Stegostoma tigrinum: one gene and its partners. The protein of the gene in region 1 interacts with the protein of each later gene in a pairwise test. Links are inferred from orthologs where the notes say so. Each region holds a gene or a part of one and is shown in the gene's direction. Other genes may lie near its edges.

Evidence for each region. The genes of interacting proteins can lie anywhere in the genome.
Region 2: the proteins of trim32 (region 1) and CAP-Gly domain-containing linker protein 4-like interact in binary tests that used the Homo sapiens proteins (3 or more experiments, as listed by UniProt). The two-hybrid records come from large-scale screens. The link is inferred for Stegostoma tigrinum from reciprocal best matches to the Homo sapiens genes TRIM32 and CLIP4.
Region 3: the proteins of trim32 (region 1) and ptcd2 interact in binary tests that used the Homo sapiens proteins (3 or more experiments, as listed by UniProt). The two-hybrid records come from large-scale screens. The link is inferred for Stegostoma tigrinum from reciprocal best matches to the Homo sapiens genes TRIM32 and PTCD2.

What each region holds. Positions count from the first base shown.
Region 1 is NC_081382.1:14,832,238-14,839,836, reverse strand, and holds the start of trim32 (E3 ubiquitin-protein ligase TRIM32), read left to right. Parts: upstream 1-4,580; 5' UTR 4,581-4,745; intron 4,746-7,599. UniProt on the Homo sapiens protein: E3 ubiquitin ligase that plays a role in various biological processes including neural stem cell differentiation, innate immunity, inflammatory resonse and autophagy.
Region 2 is NC_081362.1:74,187,557-74,194,480, forward strand, and holds the start of CAP-Gly domain-containing linker protein 4-like, read left to right. Parts: upstream 1-3,912; 5' UTR 3,913-4,050; coding exon 4,051-4,063; intron 4,064-6,924.
Region 3 is NC_081356.1:102,211,643-102,219,648, forward strand, and holds the start of ptcd2 (pentatricopeptide repeat-containing protein 2, mitochondrial), read left to right. Parts: upstream 1-4,994; 5' UTR 4,995-5,068; coding exon 5,069-5,168; intron 5,169-5,175; exon of another isoform or gene 5,176-5,560; intron 5,561-5,654; exon of another isoform or gene 5,655-5,742; intron 5,743-7,408; coding exon 7,409-7,501; intron 7,502-8,006. Other genes in the region: mrps27 (28S ribosomal protein S27, mitochondrial), read right to left, coding at 592-672, 4,769-4,835. UniProt on the Homo sapiens protein: Involved in mitochondrial RNA maturation and mitochondrial respiratory chain function.

The sequences.
Region 1 (7,599 bases):
GAGGCACCGTATCAAAGGCCTTTTGGAAGTCTAGATAGATAACATCTACTGGGTTTCCCTGGTCTAACATACTTGTTACACCTTCAAAGAATTCTAACAGGTTTGTCAGGCACGACCTCCCCTTACTAAATCCATGCTGACTTGTTCTAATCTGACCCTGCACTTCTAGGAATTTAGAAATCTCATCTTTGACAATGGATTCTAGAATTTTACCAACTACCAAGGTTCGGCTAATCAGCCTGTAATTTTCCATCTTTTGCCTTAATCCCTTCTTAAACAAGGGAGTTAAAACAGCAATTTTCCAATCATCTGGGACTTTCCCTGACTCCAGTGACTTTTGAAAGATCACAACCAAAGCCTCCGCTATTTCCTCAGCCACCTCCCTCAGAACTCTAGGATGTAGCCCATCAGGGCCAGGAGATTTATCAATTTTTAGACCCTTCAGCTTTTCTAGCACTTTCTCTTTTGTAATGCCTACCGTACTCAACTCTGCCCCCTGACTCTCCCTAATTGTTGGCATACTACTTATGTCTTCCACTGTGAAGACTGACGCAAAGTACTTATTAAGTTCTTCAGCTATTTCCTTATCTTCCATCACTAGCCTTCTAGCATCAATTTGGAGCAGCCCAATATCTACTTTTCCCACTCGTTTGTTTCTTGTGTATTGAAAGAAGCTTTTACTGTCATTTCTAGTATTACTAGCTAGCCTACCTTCATATTTGATCCTCTCCTTCCTTATTGCTCTCTTTGTTATCCTCTGTTTGTTTTTGTAGCCTTCCCAATCTTCTGATTTCCCAGTGCTCTTGGCCACTTTATAGGCTGTCTCTTTTTCTTTGATATATTTCCTGACTTCCTTTGTCAGCCATGGCTGTCTAATCCCAACCCGGATAATCTTTCTTTTCTTTGGGATGAACCTCTGTACTGTGTCCTCAATTACACCCAGAAACTCCTGCCATTGTTGGTCTACTGTCTTCCCCGCTGAGCTCTGCTTCCAGTCGATTTTCGTCAATTCCTCTCTCATGCCCCTGTAATTACCTTTATTTAACTGTAACACCATTACGTCCAATTTTGCCTTCTCTCTTTCAAACTGCAGACTGAACTCTACCATATTATGATTGCTGCCTCCTAAGTGTTCCCTTTCTTTAAGGTCTTTTATAAAGTCTGGCTCATATTAAAACTGTATCACACGACATCTTCAATATACAGTAAGTCAATGGAATTAAAAACAATGGGTGCCTAAATCAATGCCATCTGTTTTACACTAACAACCAAAGCCACCCTCTGCTTCGGAGTACCCATCAAAAATCTACCTCGCCTTGACACATTGTTTTTTTTCCATATTGTCTGCACCATGATTATTAACACTTCAAAATTTAACTGAGACACAAGGGAAAACAAAAGCATGGAGCTGCAGTTAATGCCAATATCCTGATTACAACACTTGGTCTGAAACAGATCTTTATAGCTGAATGATTTATTGATCTAATTGTAATGATTGGACCGAGGTTAACCAGGTGGACCTCATAGAATACGAGTTCCATGATTGGGGCTGTTAACCTGGTCCAATCAGGGACCCCTGGCTGATACTAAGAACATAAGTGTCAGACTGTTCACTCTGAGAGCTGGCTCTGAGGAAGCTGGATCAGTGCCAAGAATTCTCCATGTGTAAACGAAAGGCAACTTGGTGTTGGGATACCATCTGCATGGAGTTATTTCACTAATATCTCATCATGCAAGTATGACTTCTTCGATCAAGGGATTTACTTGATTTTTACAGAGTGCTTGATAAGATCGCACATAATAAACATAATAAACTAGTCCTTAAATGATGAAAATCAAACAATTCATTGATCATGAGACAGTAGGAACTGCCAATGCTGGAGAATCTGCGATAACACGGTGTAACACTAGATGAACACAGCAGGCCAAGCAGCATCAGACCGTAATTCATAGATCATGGAGCTCTTTTGTGTGAAAGGCTTTTTTCCCGATTTCGATAAACCATTTTAATAACTTGTCTTTAAATACTGGATTTTCAATCTTACGGTGTCATTGAAGGGCTTTATTCCTGAAATCTTCCATATTAGTTCAAAAAATAAGTTAAATCTGGTATAGAAATATTAACACATTCAGGCAAAGAATACAAATAAATAATAACTAAGCAATTACCCAAATATGGCAATATTCTGAACAATGTAATCTGAAACAAAAACTATTAAAGTTCCCATTAGTAGATCAGAAATCAGGTGCCTAGCAATGTTCCATCACCTTAATAATAATGCATCAATAGCTAACACTCTGAAGATACTGTCCAGTTTTACTCACACCGTTAACACAGAAATAAGGCTCCAGTCAGTCTCCATAGAATACTTACAGTGTGGAAACAGGTCCTTTAGCCCAAGACGTCCACACTGCAACTCAGAGCATCCCGCCAATCCCTACATAACCCACTTAATCAACAAATCCCCAAACACAATGGGCAATTTAGCATGGCCAATCCATCTAGCATGCACATCTTTGAACTGTGGGAAGAAACTCACGCAGACACAGGGAGAATGTGCAAACTCCAAACAGTCACCCAAGGGTGGAATCGAACTCAGGCCCCTAGTGCTGTGAGGCAGCAGTGCTAACCACTGAGTCACTGTGCTGTCTCGATGTACCATCTCAAAACAAGCATTTTGAGTATTAAGCAAAATCTTCACATTTAGCTATCAGATCTGGTTCACTTCCTTTCCTGATGTCCAGTTAATATCTAATCACACAGAGCTCATCTATTCTTTACTCCTGTTTTTTTATCGTATTGTGCCAAAGACTTGTGTGGACTTAATATTATTCAGGAATAGGAAAAGTTAACAAACCTGTCTCTTTTTAATCTATCAGCTCATTATTGTGTCTCCAAACCAAAATTTTTCCGACAGATCAAATAGTCACCCAACACAGTTTTACCAACTATTTCAAAGATCCTGCCTTGCAATTGTTTCCATAAACCTAATAGGCCAAAATTTGTGGACTGAAGTAGGAACACAGGAATTAGGATCAAGAATAAGCCATTCAGCCCTTTAAGCTGGATCTGTCATTTGCCAAGATCGCAAGATGTGGCCTCAACTAAACTTCATTCCTGTTCCCCAATACCCTCAACTCCCTTATCTAAAGCAACTGGGGCAGACAGGAAAATGGATGGAGTTCACAGCACTTACAGTCATTCAATTGCAAAGATTTACTCCAGTGGTTTTAGAGAGCAATGTGTTGTTGTAAAAAGAAATATTGGTTGGCATGTTCCAGACACACATGCTCATCCCCAACCACCACAAAATTCAGGCCAGTTTCTTTTAGGTGAAAAAGATTCCCTGACTTCCCTTATGATACATTTTTCAATGTTTTTTTTTATTTGTGGTCTGATATTTGAATTTGTTGCCACGTTAACAGCTTGCTTGGATTCCTTTTTGAATGCCTTCCATCTGCTTGAAGAATCCAAACAGATCTCATTAGGCCAAGCAGCATCTCAGGAGCACAAAAGCTGACGTTTCGGGCCCATCAGCTTTTGTGCTCCTGAGATGTTGCTTGGCCTGCTGTGTTCATCCAGCTTCACACTTTATTATCTTGGATTCTCCAGCATCTGCAGTTCCCATTATCTCAGATCTCATTAGGCTTTCTTCTCTTCTGAAGAATGCCAAATTTCTTACTATTTCTAATTGACTGGATCCAAGATCCAGAGGAATACACATCAATCATGTTCTTCATTTACACTGAGACAAGTAGCTTTACCAGTACCGTATTCCCATAGCAGAAAAGTTTTTCCATGTATTCGGAAACTGTTTCCTAAGCACTGAACAATGTTCTGTACAAGCTGCACAATTGTACACCAGTATCACAACTCAAAACTTCCCACGGGGGATGTGCTCACGTTATTCCTTTGTTTTTACTTTCAAAACGGACTCGGGCCACACTTCAAAACAAGTACCTAATAGTCTACAGTGTTGGTGGGGATGTATAAGAACTTGGCGATAACCAGTGATTGTGAAAATGCAAGTTCTTTTTTTTTCAAAAAATGCAAAAATAGTGGAATATACTTTGCAGTACGATTTTGCAGAACGAGTATGCTTTTATTTAGGTTTCGGCATCGATGGTCAAGCAGTGCGATTTTGCAAAACGTGTACGCTTCATTTATCACTGGGATATCGCTACGGCACGGATACAACAGCGCTAAATCGTTTGGAAATAAAAGGCAAGGAACTTGGCAGAGTGAAAAATAGTAATGATCCACCTTCATAAACATGCACATTTTATATCTCATAAGTACAAGTAAAATAATGACACTCATTATTGCACACAATCCTACCGAAGGGGAAATAAAACAACTTCAACGGGGCGGGGAAATTTTGGTTTGCAACACACTTCGGCGCAACTGCGCACGCGCGTTGTCTTCCCGGGCTGGATACCCTGGAAGGAGAGGTGCGGATTTTGATTGACAGCGGGGGAGAGCCAATCAGTTTCACGTGTGCTCCATCGTTGGCGGAGGACGACAAATGCAGTCGGGCGCGGGGCGGGTGACGTCACAACGGGGCCTGGAAGCTGCCGGGCGAGCGTGAAGTCTGCGACAGGAAGAGCGCGGGCGTGCGCGCGCACGCAGGGGTCGGCGGATGACAGGCGAGCGCCGCACTGCAGGCGCGGGGTCTGCTTCCAGGGCCGCCCCGCACCCCCTTCCCCTAACGATCAAGACAAGAACCTGAAGGACTGAGCCAGCGGTAAATGTCTTCACTTGCTTTTTTCTTAAAAAAAATGTTTCTATATATAGTGCGTTGGTAGACCGCTGCGTTTTTGAAATTTGATCCGAGGCCGGTTTTGTTTGTCTTTCGGATTCCTCGCCGAAGCCTAATAGCTCGACCCTTAGGCTTAGAAGCGTCTGGACAAGCAGTGTTCCTCAAATCTATCCCCCCTATAAATCTAAGCTCCCCGACCCCGTCAAATCCAACCCACCCATATGAATCTAACCCCCTCAAATCCAACCCAATCCCCTCAAATCCAACCCACCCCTATAAATCTAACCCCCTCAAATCCAACCCACCCCTATAAATCTAACCCCCTCAAATCCAACCCACCCCTATAAATCTAACCCCCTCAAATTCAACCCACCCCGATAAATCTAACCCCCTCAAATCCAACCCACCCCTATAAATCTAACCCCCTCAAATCCAACCCAATCCCCTCAAATCCAACCCACCCCTATAAATCTAACCCCCTCAAATCCAACCCACCCCTATGAATCTAACCCCCTCAAATCCAACCCACCCCTATGAATCTAACCCCCTCAAATCCAACCCACCCCTATGAATCTAACCCCCTCAAATCCAACCCACCCCTATGAATCTAACCCCCTCAAATCCAACCCACCCCTATGAATCTAACCCCCTCAAATCCAACCCACCCCTATGAATCTAACCCCCTCAAATCCAACCCACCCCTATGAATCTAACCCCCTCAAATCCAACCCACCCCTATGAATCTAACCCCCTCAAATCCAACCCACCCCTATGAATCTAACCCCCTCAAATCCAACCCACCCCTATGAATCTAACCCCCTCAAATCCAACCCACCCCTATGAATCTAACCCCCTCAAATCCAACCCACCCCTATGAATCTAACCCCCTCAAATCCAACCCACCCCTATGAATCTAACCCCCTCAAATCCAACCCACCCCTATGAATCTAACCCCCTCAAATCCAACCCACCCCTATGAATCTAACCCCCTCAAATCCAACCCACCCCTATGAATCTAACCCCCTCAAATCCAACCCACCCCTATGAATCTAACCCCCTCAAATCCAACCCACCCCTATGAATCTAACCCCCTCAAATCCAACCCACCCCTATGAATCTAACCCCCTCAAATCCAACCCACCCCTATGAATCTAACCCCCTCAAATCCAACCCACCCCTATGAATCTAACCCCCTCAAATCCAACCCACCCCTATGAATCTAACCCCCTCAAATCCAACCCACCCCTATGAATCTAACCCCCTCAAATCCAACCCACCCCTATGAATCTAACCCCCTCAAATCCAACCCACCCCTATGAATCTAACCCCCTCAAATCCAACCCACCCCTATGAATCTAACCCCCTCAAATCCAACCCACCCCTATGAATCTAACCCCCTCAAATCCAACCCACCCCTATGAATCTAACCCCCTCAAATCCAACCCACCCCTATGAATCTAACCCCCTCAAATCCAACCCACCCCTATGAATCTAACCCCCTCAAATCCAACCCACCCCTATGAATCTAACCCCCTCAAATCCAACCCACCCCTATGAATCTAACCCCCTCAAATCCAACCCACCCCTATGAATCTAACCCCCTCAAATCCAACCCACCCCTATGAATCTAACCCCCTCAAATCCAACCCACCCCTATGAATCTAACCCCCTCAAATCCAACCCACCCCTATGAATCTAACCCCCTCAAATCCAACCCACCCCTATGAATCTAACCCCCTCAAATCCAACCCACCCCTATGAATCTAACCCCCTCAAATCCAACCCACCCCTATGAATCTAACCCCCTCAAATCCAACCCACCCCTATGAATCTAACCCCCTCAAATCCAACCCACCCCTATGAATCTAACCCCCTCAAATCCAACCCACCCCTATGAATCTAACCCCCTCAAATCCAACCCACCCCTATGAATCTAACCCCCTCAAATCCAACCCACCCCTATGAATCTAACCCCCTCAAATCCAACCCACCCCTATGAATCTAACCCCCTCAAATCCAACCCACCCCTATGAATCTAACCCCCTCAAATCCAACCCACCCCTATGAATCTAACCCCCTCAAATCCAACCCACCCCTATGAATCTAACCCCCTCAAATCCAACCCACCCCTATGAATCTAACCCCCTCAAATCCAACCCACCCCTATGAATCTAACCCCCTCAAATCCAACCCACCCCTATGAATCTAACCCCCTCAAATCCAACCCACCCCTATGAATCTAACCCCCTCAAATCCAACCCACCCCTATGAATCTAACCCCCTCAAATCCAACCCACCCCTATGAATCTAACCCCCTCAAATCCAACCCACCCCTATGAATCTAACCCCCTCAAATCCAACCCACCCCTATGAATCTAACCCCCTCAAATCCAACCCACCCCTATGAATCTAACCCCCTCAAATCCAACCCACCCCTATGAATCTAACCCCCTCAAATCCAACCCACCCCTATGAATCTAACCCCCTCAAATCCAACCCACCCCTATGAATCTAACCCCCTCAAATCCAACCCACCCCTATGAATCTAACCCCCTCAAATCCAACCCACCCCTATGAATCTAACCCCCTCAAATCCAACCCACCCCTATGAATCTAACCCCCTCAAATCCAACCCACCCCTATGAATCTAACCCCCTCAAATCCAACCCACCCCTATGAATCTAACCCCCTCAAATCCAACCCACCCCTATGAATCTAACCCCCTCAAATCCAACCCACCCCTATGAATCTAACCCCCTCAAATCCAACCCACCCCTATGAATCTAACCCCCTCAAATCCAACCCACCCCTATGAATCTAACCCCCTCAAATCCAACCC
Region 2 (6,924 bases), on another chromosome or scaffold:
GCATATTGTCCAGATCTTGTTGCACATGAACTTGGGCTGCTTCAGTATCTGAGGAATCATGAATGGTGCTGAACATTGTGCAATCATCGGCAAACATCGCCACTTCTGACCTTGTGATGGAGAGAAGGCCATTGATGAAGCAACTGAAGATGGTTGGGGCAAAGCCACTACCCTGAGGAACTCCTGCAGAGATGTCTTGGAGCTGAGATAATTGACCTCCCACAACCATGACCATCTTCATATGTGTCAGGTATGACTCCACCTACCGGAACATTTTCCCCCTGATATCCATTGATCCTAGTTTTGCTAGGGCTCCTTGATGCACACTCAGTTGAATGCAGCCTTGATGCCGAGGGCTGTCATTCTGACTTCACCTCTGGAATTCAGCTCGTTTGTCCATGTTTGAACCAAGGCTGTAATGAGGTCAGGAGCTGAGTGGCCCTGGCGGAACCCAAACTGGGCGTCACTGAGTACGCTAGTGCTGAGCAGTGCAGCTTGACAGCACAGTTGATGACACCTTCCATCATTTTACTGACGATCGAGAGTAGACTGATGGGTTGGTAATTGTCTGGGTTGGATTTGTCCTGCTTTTTGTGTACAGGACATACTTGGGCAATTTTCCACATTGTTGAGTAGATACCAGTAGTGTAACTGTACTGGAACAGCTTGTCTACGGGAGTGGAAAGCTCTAGGACACAAATCTTCAGTACTATGGCCAGAATGTTGTCAAGGCCGGTAGCCTTTGCAGTATCCAGTGTTTCCAATCATTTCTTGATATCGTGTGGAGTGGATCAAATTAGCTGAAAACTCGTATCTGTGATGCTGGGGACCACTGGAGGAGGCCAAGACGGATCATCCACTTGGCACTTCTGACTGATTGAAAGAAACCCTATCCCTTTTCAGTCCTCAATGAAAAATATAGAAGAATATAAAAGATAGCCTTTCCAAATCCCAGTGATAAAGTACATCAGGACTTGGGAGACTTGTCAGCTTGCAATTCCAACAATTTGCTTCCCTTGGGATTATAATTTTCTTGATCTTTCTTCCCTTCCATTTCCTGATTTACAGTCTTCTCTGAGATTAGTATCCTCTAGAACATAGAACATAGAACAACACAGCACAGAATAGGCCCTTCGGCCCTCGATGTTGCTCCGACCTGTGAACTATTCTAAGCCCATCCCCCTACACTATCCCATCATCATCCATATGCTTATCCAAGGACTGTTCAAATGCCCCTAATGTGGCTGAGTTAACTACATTGGCACGCAGGGCGTTCCACGCCCTTACCACTCTCTGAGTAAAGAACCGGCCTCTGACATCTGTCTTAAATCTATCACCCCTCAATTTCTAGCTATACCCCCTTGTACAAGCTGAAGTCATCATCCTAGGAAAAAGACTCTCACTGTCCACCCTAACTAATCCTCTGATCATCTTGTATGTCTCTATTAAATCCCCTCTTAGCCTTCTTCTCTCCAATGAGAACATACCCAAGTCCCTCAGCCTTTCTGGACAGGGCCTGCGCTCCAGACCAGGCAACATCCTGCTAAATCTCCTCTGCACCTTTTCCAATGCTTCCACATGCCTCCTGTAATGGGGCGACCAGAACTGCGCGCAATATTCCAAGTGAGGCCGCACTAGCGTTTTGTACAGTTGCAGCATGACATCCCGGCTCCGGAACTCAATCCCCCTACCAATAAAACCAAACACACCATAAGCTTTCTTAACAGCACTATCAACCTGAGTGGCAACTTTCAGGGATCTTTGTAGATGGACATCAAAGTCCCTCTGCACATCCACACTACCCAGAATCTTTCCACAGATCCAATATTCTGCCTTCCAATTATTCCTCCCAAAGTGAATCACCTCACATTTATCCGTATTAAACTCCATTTGTCACCTTCCGGCCCAATTCTGCAGTTTATCCAAGTATCTAAAATGAAGACAAATGCAAAATAGCTGCTTAATTTGTCGACCATCTTTTTTCCATGATTAATTCCATACTTGTTTTCTATAGGACAAATATCTACAAAATTTATGCTCTCATTTTATATTCAGACTATGTGTTGTAAATTTCAAAGAGCTGCTGCCAGATGCACAGATTGTACTGGTGGTTGTTGGCATTTGCAAAACAATTGCGGTGAAGTAGACCCAGTCCCAGGAGGAAGATGATGAAAGGCTCACATTTGTTAAATCCTTACTTCATCTGTCAAAATTACGATGTCTGGTTTTTCATTTGAACTTCTCACACATTTGTGTACATTGAACCACCAAGAGATTACATTTATGCAATTTGCAGCCTTTTTTATAATTCTAGCTATCTTTCTCTCACTTCTTCCCTCCCATTAATGTTTTAATCATTTTCTTAAAATATATCTTGTCTAATCTTCAGATCTGCCACCTACTATTACATAAGTATATGCTCTTCCTTTAGGGTTTATACTATTACAGCTTCTTTATCTAACCATGGATGGTGATTCCTCTCAGAATTTTGTTTGGTGTTGAAATGGATATAATTTGTGCATTTTGAAATATTTCCTTAAATGTCGACCACACTATTGCTTTCTAACCTAATTTGTTAGTTCACTTTGGTTCTGCTTTCAGACCATAAGAAATAGGAACAGGAGTAAGCCGTTTTTGGCCCCTCAAACCTGCTGCACCTTTTGATAGGATCGTGGCTGATCGACTCTTCACATATCTACTTTCCCAACCTTTCCCCATAACCCTTGATTCCCTTACTGATCAAGAACCTATTTATCTCAGCATGATATATGCACCAATGCCCTGCTCCCACAGTTCTTTGTGATATGGAGTTCTAAAGACTCTCAACCAGAGCTTTCATGCCATCATCATTGCCCTTAGTTTATTTTAAAATACTAGTCTTTGACTCAGTTTTGTTTTCCTCAAACTGAATATAAAATTCACATTCTAATTGCTGTTATCTAGGGATGTGTACACCACGAGGTGATTTGTTAATTCTATATCATTGCATAATATCAGGTCTAGTAAAGCCTATTCTCTGATTAACCCACGAATATGCTCAACTAGAATGCTTTGCACATCTGATGTTTCAACTCTAACTGGTAAGTTAAAATCCTCCAAGATTATTGCTATACCTTTCTGGCATTTTTCTTGCTGGTCGCTTCTGAGATTTCAAGGGCAAATCTATCTAATGTCCCCTTGTAATTAAACAAGCGTGTATGCAAGCACTTACCTGACCCAAAACTGAATATTGATTTTGCAGGCTACATTGCAAATCATCTTTTTAAATTTAGTTACATAAGGATATTTGTTTTTTATATGAGAAAACAACGCTTCCTATTGTAGTTTAATACAGCTGCTTAACTAGAAGTTAATGGTCAAATGTTTAAACATAACTGTCAACAGAGGAAATCTGAGTTTATTTATACAAAGTATGTGTTCTTGGTTCTTCATCAATGAAAGCATTCAAGATTTGAACTGCAATTGAGACTTTATTTCAGATTCTTGGAAGATTAATATTTCATTTGTGAAGTATGCATTCAGTTAATCTTTAAAATGAACATGTATTTTTCAAATTTATATCAACTGAAGGATTTGGCTGCAATATTTCTGCCATGCAATATTTCAGTCTCATATTTGTAGTGAATGTTCTTCACAATCAGTGCAATTTGCTTTTGACATTTCAATTGTTAAATAGCTAAAATTTGAACCTGTTATGAAGCTTAGATTGAATAATATCATACAGCACGGCTTATGACATTCTGCTGGGCATCAAAATAGTTTGAATAATGTACAGAAGTTCATACGATCTACAAGTGCATCAAGTACTTGGAAGGATTTTCAGCACCTGAAATAGCTGCCAGGCTATTTAAAGATTCTCAACTCATGAATGTTCCACAGCAACACCATGGTCGTGATAGTTGTACTGGTTGAATCTGATTTCAGTCAGTAGTCCATTGCAATTTTGGCATAGATAAATCAACGTTCGTTACCCCAAACTGCTTTCTTGTATGAATAATCCAGTGTGTACAAGTACTATTCCAACTGTGGAACTTTAAAAATTCTTTCAACATGATACAAACTGGTAAGTATTACGCCCTTAATTTTCAGTTTGCAGTTGCTGCCTCCAGTTCAAAATAAACTGATAATTGGCTGTTTAAGTTTTCACAAAAATGCATTCTGAATGAAAAGATTAATTCTGCTTCATGTTTCAACAAAAGTACAGAAAATAAATTGAAATGCTTACTTGTGTTGAGATAAACAGGATTTTGAATGAGCGAAAGTATTTTGCTTATTCAAGTGAATGTAAATAATTAAACAAAGGATTCACAATTATTTTGTTTATTTACCATTTATAAGGTGCAAAGTTTTGTACAAATATATCTGTTGATAGTTAATATTAAACTGTTCTTTTAATGGCTTTCTGTTTTACTTTATTGAGTGTGGGCACATGCACTGGACTGTTAATCTCGAGATCCAGGTAATATTTCAGGGACCCAAGTTTGAATCCTGCTATGGCAGTTGGTGAAATTTGAATGCAATAAAAATCTGGAATTACGAGTCTAATAATGAGCATGAAACCGTTGTTGATTGTCAGAAAAAACCATCTGGGCCACTAATGTCCTTTCGGGAATGAAACTACCATCCTAACCCAGTCCGGCCTACATATGACTGTAGACCCAAAACAATGTGATTGACTCTTAACTGCCCTCCCCGATAGGCAAAAAATGCAGGCCTAGCTAGTGACACACTCATCCCATGAATTAATAAAATATTACAAAATTTCCTCAATGTTTGAATCTCTCCAATTAAGTTACTATTACTGCTACCTTGACTGTATTAGTATCAACAAGTGCATAAATGAAATTCTGAGAAATTATGTTCACTAGCCATTCAAAAATTCAGCACTGGAACAGAAATATATCAAGTTCAAACCTAGGCTATTGAGAAAATCACTTTAAAATGATTCAGTTGATGAAATTATATCATATATTATTGTGCTTGTCATTTTAGATTTTTTTCTGGTATTTTCTGGGAGAGGGAGGATTAATGTTGGGATTGATGACGGTACTAAATTCAGTAGGTTTCATTGCAAAGCATGATTAACCTATATGAGCGTGATGTCACATAAGCACCATAACAACTTATGGCTGCCAGCTGTTTTAAAAGCCATCCTAATTGGCTGAACACCTGAATGGGGGACCAATTTTGTGAAAGGCCAGCATTAGTTAAAATTATCCTGCACCTCTTAAAAGGGAGGAGCACAGCAGCTAGAGAGACTGTTAATATTTTACAGAAAATAAATCTAACCTGTAAAACGTTGAATAATAACATAGCATGAGAAAGAAAGTGATTGTCAGGATTTTTGAGTGAATAACCAGAGATCTTAGTTGAGAAGATGGTAAGTAAGAGAGATTTCGTGAAAGAAAAGCCTCAAAAACCAACCAGACTTGTGTTCAGGAAATAGTGGAAGTAAATAGCTGTGGAGGTCATTGCCAAAAGTCCAGCCGCAAGAATCTGGATAGACTCATGCAATAAGTACAATTCCCTCTGTAGCAGTCAATGTGAACGCTTTTTCAAATTCTATACCCAACCGTGAGCATTAGACACTGCCCAAAACAATCATTTGGTAACAACCTCCATCAATCAAGACCCATACTTGATATTTAAATGCTTCATCACACTCTTAGCACTACTACAAGCTTCACATGTTTCTCCTAGCTTGCAGACCCAGCCAGCTGTTTCCCCATGTCAGCTGCATTACATAAAAGGATTGCTAATTGCTCAATGACATTCTTCCCTCCCTGTTTCAGGACAAGATGGCACACAACTTGGGGCGACAGGAGCTCAGGCATGCCTATATATACGAACCCTTTTGGACAGTATCCTACTGAGCATTATCAACTGTCTCTTACATGACTGACTATGATCAGTAGAGCGGATGAAATCCTAGTGGGAGACAATAGACTTCTACTTATCCTCCTAACATCCCACAGTTTCTTCTCTTTGCAAGATGCAGATGGTATAAGCATGCACCTTTTACATTACCCTCATCATCTCAGACATTTAGCCTTTGTGCCTTTTTCCTTTCTCATAATCGAAAAGTGCAGCCACCAACAGACCAGTCACCTAGTGTACTCTTCATTTCCCCAATGTAGAGGAGATCATATTGTGAGCACCGAATGCAGTAGGCTAGATTCTGGGAAGTGTAGGTGAGGTGTTGCCTCACCTGGAAGGTATGTTTGGGCCCTTGGATACTGCGGAGGGAGGAGGTAAATGCACAGGTGTTGCACCTTCACCAGTTACAGGGGAAGGTGCCGTAGGGCTGTGGTGAGGTGTTGGGAGTGAAGGAAGTGTGGACCAGGGTGTCCTGGAGGGATCGGTCCCTGTGGAAGGCAGACAAGGGAGGGGAGGAGAATATGTGCCTGGAGGTGGTGGAAATGGTGCCTGATGATCTTCTGGATGTGGATGCTAGTGGGTTTGTAGTGGATGTTAGTTGTGTTCTGCCCACAAAAAAGACCCTGAACTATCTGTTGCCTGCCACTTTAATGCACCACCCTGTTCCCTGACCAACATGTTTGTCTGTGGCTTGCTGCAGTGTTCTAGTGAAGCTCAACGCAAGCTAGAAGAACAACACCTCATTTTCTTCCTGGGGACCCTGCAGCCCTTCAGACTCAATATTGAGTTCAATAATTTTAGGGCCTAAACTCTCCATGTCCCAGCCCCCTACGCCTCACACCAGGCCTTGTTACCACATAGCCTGCCATTACACACTACCTGTTATTAGTCACTAATAGTCCCCATTAATAACTATTCACTGTCCCATCCTGATCATTATCAACTCTTTATCTGTCCAGCTGCTCTTCTTTCTCTTTAGGCTCTATCCTATTGTTTACTCCCTACCCCACCCCCCTCCCCTTTTTCCTGCATGTATAAACTCACATT
Region 3 (8,006 bases), on another chromosome or scaffold:
ATCACCTCCTGAGTGATTTGTTTTTTAAATGGACAGTTGTTCATACTGGGGAAGAAAAAGAAAATATCAGGAGAAAGAACTACCTAATTCCATATCACAAAAGAATGCAGTAGCCAAAAGATGAGAGTGTCTTGAATCTTGTTTTCAAAAAAATTTGGAACTCCAAAGTACTGTAATAATACTAGATGTTTGGATGTATATCTGCATCTACTTAAAAAAGTCAGTTACTTTTCTTATTTTCCTCCTACCTTCAATTTTTTTTGTTCTTTTATCCTACTCTCTGTTTCAAGCTAGTTTATTCTGCTTTTCAAATGCTTTCCTGATATCACTGTTTTTTTGTAGCCTGCAATAGAGAAATGAAGCTAAGCAACGTCAGAGATTTTCATTGTTTCTGCACTAATTAAATGACAACCTTAACACTTAAGAATTAACTATAAATGTGGGGTTTGAATACAGAACACCCAATGAATGGAATATGATAATAAGGGGGGGGGGTCATTTTAGAAATTTGTACAGGAATATAAAGACTTCCTTCCAGAAGAAATACTCTTCAAAAAGTTGAAAGTTATATCTTCATGGTTTTCTACTTACCCAGATTTTGAGGGTCTTTCTCTCGCTGGTCCCATTTCTGATTATCTAAATAAGCTGCAGAGAGCAGACACCTTTTCGTTACTGGAAGAAAAATATAAATAAATCATCACCTTATGGTCATAAGAAAACAAATGAGAGAAATGTAGGTAGTCCATCAAATCTATGGCTTCTGTGTGAGATACTACTAACAGATAAAGTCATTATCCTCATCCTGCCAACTCTCTTCTCCTCCACCACCAATCATGCTGCTGTAAAAGGCAAAATCCTTGGTAATTTAAACGTCTGTGAAAAATACTTCATTGCGTTTAGATTAATTTTATGCTTTCTGATCCAGCACTGATCCACCCACAACTAAATGTTGACAGAATCTTTTCTCTGAATTTCATCCTCAGTCATTTCTTCACAAATACAACACCTTTCCAAAACAAAATGTTAAATTCACCAAGTCCCTTTGTGGTTATAGGTTTTTAGAATAGGTCTCAAGTGAGCTGCTTTTCTGCTGATGACATCAAGTGATGCTGTTAAGACTGAAGTTAGGCTGGAACGCGCAGCTGAATGTATAATCAGATCAAACCATGATTTTATTGAATGGTGTGCAGTCTGGAGGGGCAATTGCCTGCCCCTAATTCAAATTAACATATCAGCAGATGAATCCAAACTCTGTCTGAAAGAATACCAAAATCAGTTTCTGTGACTGGGTCAGTGGCATTACAAAGGATTATGTTTTGCATCATGGGATAATAAGGTGTAGAGTGGATGAACACAGCAGGCCAAGCAGCAGCAGAGGAACAGGAAAGCTGGTATTTTTCATTTTAGCATATTTTGCATCGTTCTTCCTTTTGAGAGGCTTTGCTGCTTTAATATTTCAAATTAAGCTGCAATGTTGGAAATTTCTGAAATGACTCAATCTTATGAATCAGGTTCCCATGCGTGCACTGCAGTTATAATGTACATAAACAAACAACATTTTGCCCCAGATAATGAAATGTGAGGCTGGATGAACACAGCAGGCCCAGCAGCATCTCAGGAGCACAAAAGCTGACGTTTCGGGCCTAGACCCTTCATCAGAGAGGGGGATGGGGTGAGGGTTCTGGAATAAATAGGGAGAGAGGGGGAGGCGGACTGAAGGCAGATCTTCGGTCTGCCTCCCCCTCTCTCCCTATTTATTCCAGAACCCTCACCCCATCCCCCTCTCTGATGAAGGGTCTAGGCCCGAAACGTCAGCTTTTGTGCTCCTGAGATGCTGCTGGGCCTGCTGTGTTCATCCAGCCTCACATTTCATTATCTTGGATTCTCCAGCATCTGCAGTTCCCATTATCACTGGTAACATTTTGCCCCACACTACTTTAAGTTTACTTCTTTAGTTATCACCCATTGAGATGAGAAACATAACAACGTTTTGCCATCATTGTCTTGTCATGCAATAACATTAAAGTGTATTAGAGCTCAGCATGTTATTCCTTGGTAGTCACAAATAATCCGTTCTAAACTGAGCTCTTAACCTAATTTCTGCAACCACAATGGGGCTAGCTATTTTAATAACTGGAAATCACACTTTAAAAAGAAAGTAACCCTTGGGAGAGTTTTAGAAGCCTTCTAAACAGTTTCCTCCAAAGGTCAAATTAACATTCCATTATTTGTACAAATAATATCCTAGGTCAGGTGCTACATGAATTGGAGAAAAATTACTGACTTCAATCTCTGTAATTAGAGGGATATGGGGGTGGTCATCTGGGATAAAGATTTCAGCAAAGGCCAGTAGGATGTCAAAATTGCAGATTCTCAGCTTTCAACCTACTGCATGGGCTTTTGTGGTGCAACAGTAGTGTTCCTCTCTCTGAGCCTGGAGGCTGAGGTTCAAATCTCCCTACCTCCAGAAGAGTGTAATAACATCTAAGAACAGGATGATTAGAAAATATCTTCTTACTAATGCGGAGAAACCCCGGTGATGAGGAAATAGTTTGTGGCAGGGGACAAAGGCAATGGCCCCCATTTTGTCAAAGTTTAAATGGATGAAATGGTGGCTTACCCAAGAGTTAATATTGAGCAAACAGTCTGACAACAGAGGCATTTAATGAATTGCAAAGAGTTGTATGTGTTATCAGTGCACATGTTTCGATGATGTCACCAACAGGCAGGCTGTAAATAAGGAGGAAAATCACCAGTGGTAATATGGCGAGGTAACAAGAGAAGTTATTTTTTCAAAATGTATTAATCACTATTTAGATTACAGCAGTTCCAATAAAGTGGTGGCTCTCATGCAGGTATGTGGAGGTTTAATTTAACCAAGTGCAGAGATCACCTCAGAGCACCAAAGGGCCTTGCCCAAATTTGAAAATCGGAGAAAGTGACTGGCATGGACTCTGAAGTGATATCCCACTCTCTCTAATTATAAATGACTGAAACAAATTGTTATTGCTTAATTTGCATTTTTACATTAATTGGGGAAAAGCTATTGATGCTTCATCTGTGTCTTAATAAGTCTACTATCCATACAGCAATTCTGCTGCCTCTTGAGAGTTTGGCTCTACCATGTTGTTGCAGGGTCATATGGAATGCAGAATGCCATCCTAGCCAATTCCACCAGTTCAACGTATTAAAAAAGACATGAGCTGTTATCCAAACTAAGACTGTCTTCCGTACGTAAAGGTCAAAGAACAAGTCTGATCGTTCATGATTACGAAGCAAAATTATACCGACGCTGTTAGTCAGAAATTTTAAAAGGATGCCGGGAATACTGTCACAAACCAGTTCACAGATTGGAAACGTTAACTGTCCCTCTATTCACGGGTGCTGCCAGAGCTGCTGAATACATCCAGCACTTCTATTTTTACTTATCTGCTACTTTTCCAGTTACTGTTACAAAAGCTGTCGGAACAAACTGGGTCAGGATACCAAAGGCCAGTAAATCTTGGAGCAAGAGGAGTGAAGCGCTGGAGAAACTGGTCAGCTTTGACAGTAACTGCGCACACAGGTAGCTGAGGTTTAACCTGCACATGCCGCTCGGCCCAAGATAACAAGGTGTAGAGCAGGATGAACACGACAGGCCGCTTTGCAGAACACCTCCGCTCAGTTCGCAACAAACAACTGCACCTCCCAGTCGCAAACCATTTCCACTCCCCCTCCCATTCTCTTGATGACATGTCCATCATGGGCCTCCTGCACTGCCACAATGATGCCACCCGAAGGTTGCAGGAACAGCAACTCATATTCCGCCTGGGAACCCTGCAGCCATATGGTATCAATGTGGACTTCACCAGTTTCAAAATCTCCCCTTCCCCCACTGCATCCCTAAACCAGCCCAGTTCATCCCCTCCCCCCACTGCACCACACAACCAGCCCAGCTCTTCCCCTCCACCCACTGCATCCCAAAACCAGTCCAACCTGTCTCTGCCTCCCTAACCGGTTCTTCCTCTCACCCATCCCTTCCTCCCACCCCCAGCTACCTACTAACCTCATCCCACCTCCTTGACCTGTCCGTCTTCCCTGGACTGACCTATCCCCTCCCTACCTCCCCACCTACACCCTCTCCACCTATCTTCTTTGCTCTCCATCTTCGGTCCGCCTCCCCCTCACTCCCTATTTATTCCAGTTCCCTCCCCCCATCCCCCTCTCTGATGAAGGGTCTAGGCCCGAAACGTCAGCTTTTGTGCTCCTGAGATGCTGCTTGGCCTGCTGTGTTCATCCAGCCTCACATTTTATCATCTCGGATCCTCCAGCATCTGCGGTTCCTATTATCACTGCATAACCCAAACGGCTCTCTCAGCGCGCGCACTCCCTGCCGCCGACCTCGGGGCGCGCGGGCGCGGGCGCACGCCCTGCCGCCGACCTCGGGGCGCGCGGGCGCGGGCGCACTCCCTGCCGCCGACCTCGGGGCGCGCGGGCGCGGGCGCACGCCCTGCCGCCGACCTCGGGGCGCGCGGGCGCGGGCGCACTCCCTGCCGCCGACCTCGGGGCGCGCGCGCGCGGGCGCACTCCCTGCCGCCGACCACGGGGCGCGCGGGCGCGGGCGCACTCCCTGCCGCCGACCTCAGGGGGCGCGCGCTCACCGCGTCCGAGCGACTCCAGGCGTGCGTTCGCGACAATGCCAGCATCCCATGGCGCCCTCAGTACCCGACAATGATCCCGGGAGCGTGCTCGCTACCCGCCAACCACCCCGGGTGCGTGCGCTCCCTACCTGGCGCGCCACCACCGCCTCTCGCTCTGATCAGCCTCGCACTCCGCCGCAACAAGGAGGCTGCCATTTTGGAATATACGAAAACTGGTCTGGACCGGGAGGCGTCCAACATTTACAATAAATGCATCGAAGATTTGTTTATGTTTCCAGAAGAACATGTTTTTGAGGTATTGAACGTTTGCAAAAAGAAAATTTTGAAATTAAATCATTTATCCGGGCCTGTGGTGATTTCGCTCCTTAGGTTTATTTGTAAACTGGCTCCTCCCCCCCTCCTGTGCTTGATGGTAGTGTCCGGTTGGAATGGCGGCGATTGTGACGCGGGCGCTCCGCGTTCTGTTTCAGAATGTCAGAGGCGGCACGCTTCACTGTCAGCATAAAGCCCGTGATTGTTGGCGCTGTGGTGAGTGGACCAGCAGGGTTTTAGGGGAAACGGAGAGTCCACAGCGAGTGTCAGCGCTTTAGGGGAGCAGGGTCGTGGTCCTCCACAATGATTGAGGGAGGAAGCGTGAGGCTCGGCGCTTTAGGAGAGAAGGAATGAGTGGGGATATGTATGAAACGAAGGGACTTGGGGATGACAAAGTGTGGGGCTGGATGAACACAGCAGGCCGAGCAGCATCTTAGGAGCCCAAAAGCTGGCGTTTCGGGCCTAGACCATCCATCAGAGAGGGGGGAGGGGAATAGCTGTATGTGGAACACGAGTATCCAACGTGAATGACTGAGGGAGTCTCGCCGCTTAGGCTTGCTCTAACGAAGAGGAGAGAATGGAATATGATTGTCGACAGTGACTGACAAGTGAGGGACCACTACGCTTTAGAGTTGGGGAGAGGGAACGAGTGCACACAACGACAGGGCACCAGCCCACTGTGGAGTACCTCTAAAGGAAAGCAGTGGAGAGCTGTAGGAACATTGTAATAACAACTTATCCCAAGCTGCACTGATTTCAAAGTTCCGATAGAAATTAAGGAATTTGAAAAGTGAGAAGACTCTCCACAGACTGCGTTTTATCGCGTGCCCTCGTCACAGTTATATTGAGTGGGCTACTTGGAAGAGGATTTTTGAAATGAGTAAAATAAACAAAGTATTAAACGTTGAAAGATAACTGCAGATGTTGCAGAATTTGAGATAACAAGGTGTAGGCCTGGATGAACACAGCAGGCCAACAGCATCAGAGGAGCAGGAAAGCTGACGTTTCGGGCCAAGACCCTTCTTCACAAATTCGTTTCAGCCTTCAGCCTTCCTGCTCCTCTGCTGCTTGGCCTGCTGTGTTCATCCAGCTCTACACCTTGTTATCTCCAGCATCGGCAGTTCCTACTGTCTCTTGTTATTTATATGCTTCGGTTTGCTGAGGTCGTAAGCTTACTTCCTAGTTCTGTCTTTCAGTGGTTTGTATATTGGGTTCAGTTCAATGTATTTGTTGATGGAGTTCCAGTTGGAATGCCAAGCCTCCAGGAATTCTCTGGCATGTCTCTGTTTGGCTCGTGCTATTATGGATGTGTTGTCTGTGTGTATTGAGACCAGTGAGAATTGGTCATGTCTCTTGGTGGCTAGCAGGTGTTAGTAACAATAAGGATGCAAACCACTGAAAAGCAGAACCAGAAATAATGCCAACCATCTCAGCAAACTGAGGCATATGAATAACAGGTGGGACAGACACCAACGCTTCACCAGAGGCGCAGTGATGATGTTACTGAGGGTGAAGAAACGTGTGCAACCAAATCCATATACAGGGAGTGGTTAGTGTCTGGGATGCACTGCCTGAAAGTGGGATGGAGGCAGGTTCAATTCAGGCATTCAAAAAGGAATTGGATTATTACCTGAAAAGGAAGAATGAACAGGCTAATGAGCGAAGGCCAGGAAATGGCATTAGGTGAATTGCTTGTTTCAAGAGCTGTTAGATTCATGATTGGCTGAATTGCCTTGCTTTGTGCTGTAATAATTATTTCTCTGAGAGCGTGGTTTAGGCCTAGAAGTTGTTCATCTCGCAGTGAGACTTGTGGTGGAATTCAGAATATTTTGAGGAGGTTGAAAATGGTTTTGAAGAGAAGTGTTATTGTGCCTGGTAGCATGGTGGCCAACTGGTAGAGTCAGGTGATCAGAAGCTAAATGGGAGCAGAACAAAAGGGAAGTGGATCCTCATGGACAACAAGTTTGTAACAGGAAAATGTGGACCGGTGCAGAAAGAGATGGAAAGGCATACTTCAAGCCAGGCATGAATGATCACTTTGCTATCAGAGGAAGTGGCAGCTCAAGGAACAACACGACTATTTTCATTAAGTTACTGTGACTCTAAAAATACTCAATGAATAATTGGCTAAAGTCACTAAACAGATAGAAACCAGCCTTTCAAATTTAAAATGTAAATATTTTTAGCTACTGTAGTGTTGAACACCTGACTCAGTTATGCTAATTTCAGGGTAAAAAGCAGGAAGGGAAAAATGGGATTTTTGAATTAAAAGCAAACTGCTAAAACGACAGCAGGTCAGGGAGCATCTGCAGAGAGGGAAATTGAAGAAAATGCTTTTTCCATAATGCAATTTCCATAATTAAGAGAAGATTTAATAATACAACATGACCTGTAATGACAAGCAGTGTTTTCCCTTTAATATTAAAATTAAATCTGTCTTAATTTTATATTTGCAGAGAAAAGATATTTGTTATCTGACAATGTGATTCGTTTGATGGAGTTTCAGCAGAAGAAGGTTGCAATTGCCAATCAGATGTATGTTAGTAGAGGTATGTTATACGTGTATCAGTTTTCTTAATTGTCTTTTCCTGAGTAAAAGTACTTCAGGAAACACAGCTGGGTGTGAAACTAATCTGCCAGTTCACAGAAACCTGCTAAAAAAAATAAGGTTTCTGATTTATTATTCTATCTTTTAAAGGGGCAATGTAGTTTTGTTTCAATTCCTCCATCTCACTAAACCAGGCGTTCCCCATCATTTTGGGTATATTATTTAGCACAGCCGAAATATGTGCATAATTTAGCTCATCAGCCTTTTTTGTTCTGTTTCGTTGCTTTTGCTCCATATTCATCCAGTAGCATTCAAAATCAGCTTTTTATTTCTGCATTTTGAATATTGAAATGAAGACATGAGAATTTTCAGTCTGATGGACAGCACAGTGGCTCAGTCATTAGCACTGCTGTCTCACAGTGCCAGGGACCCAGGTTCGATTCCACCCTTGGGTAACTGTCTATGCGGAGTTTGCACGTTCTCCTTGTGTCTGCGTGGGTTTCCTC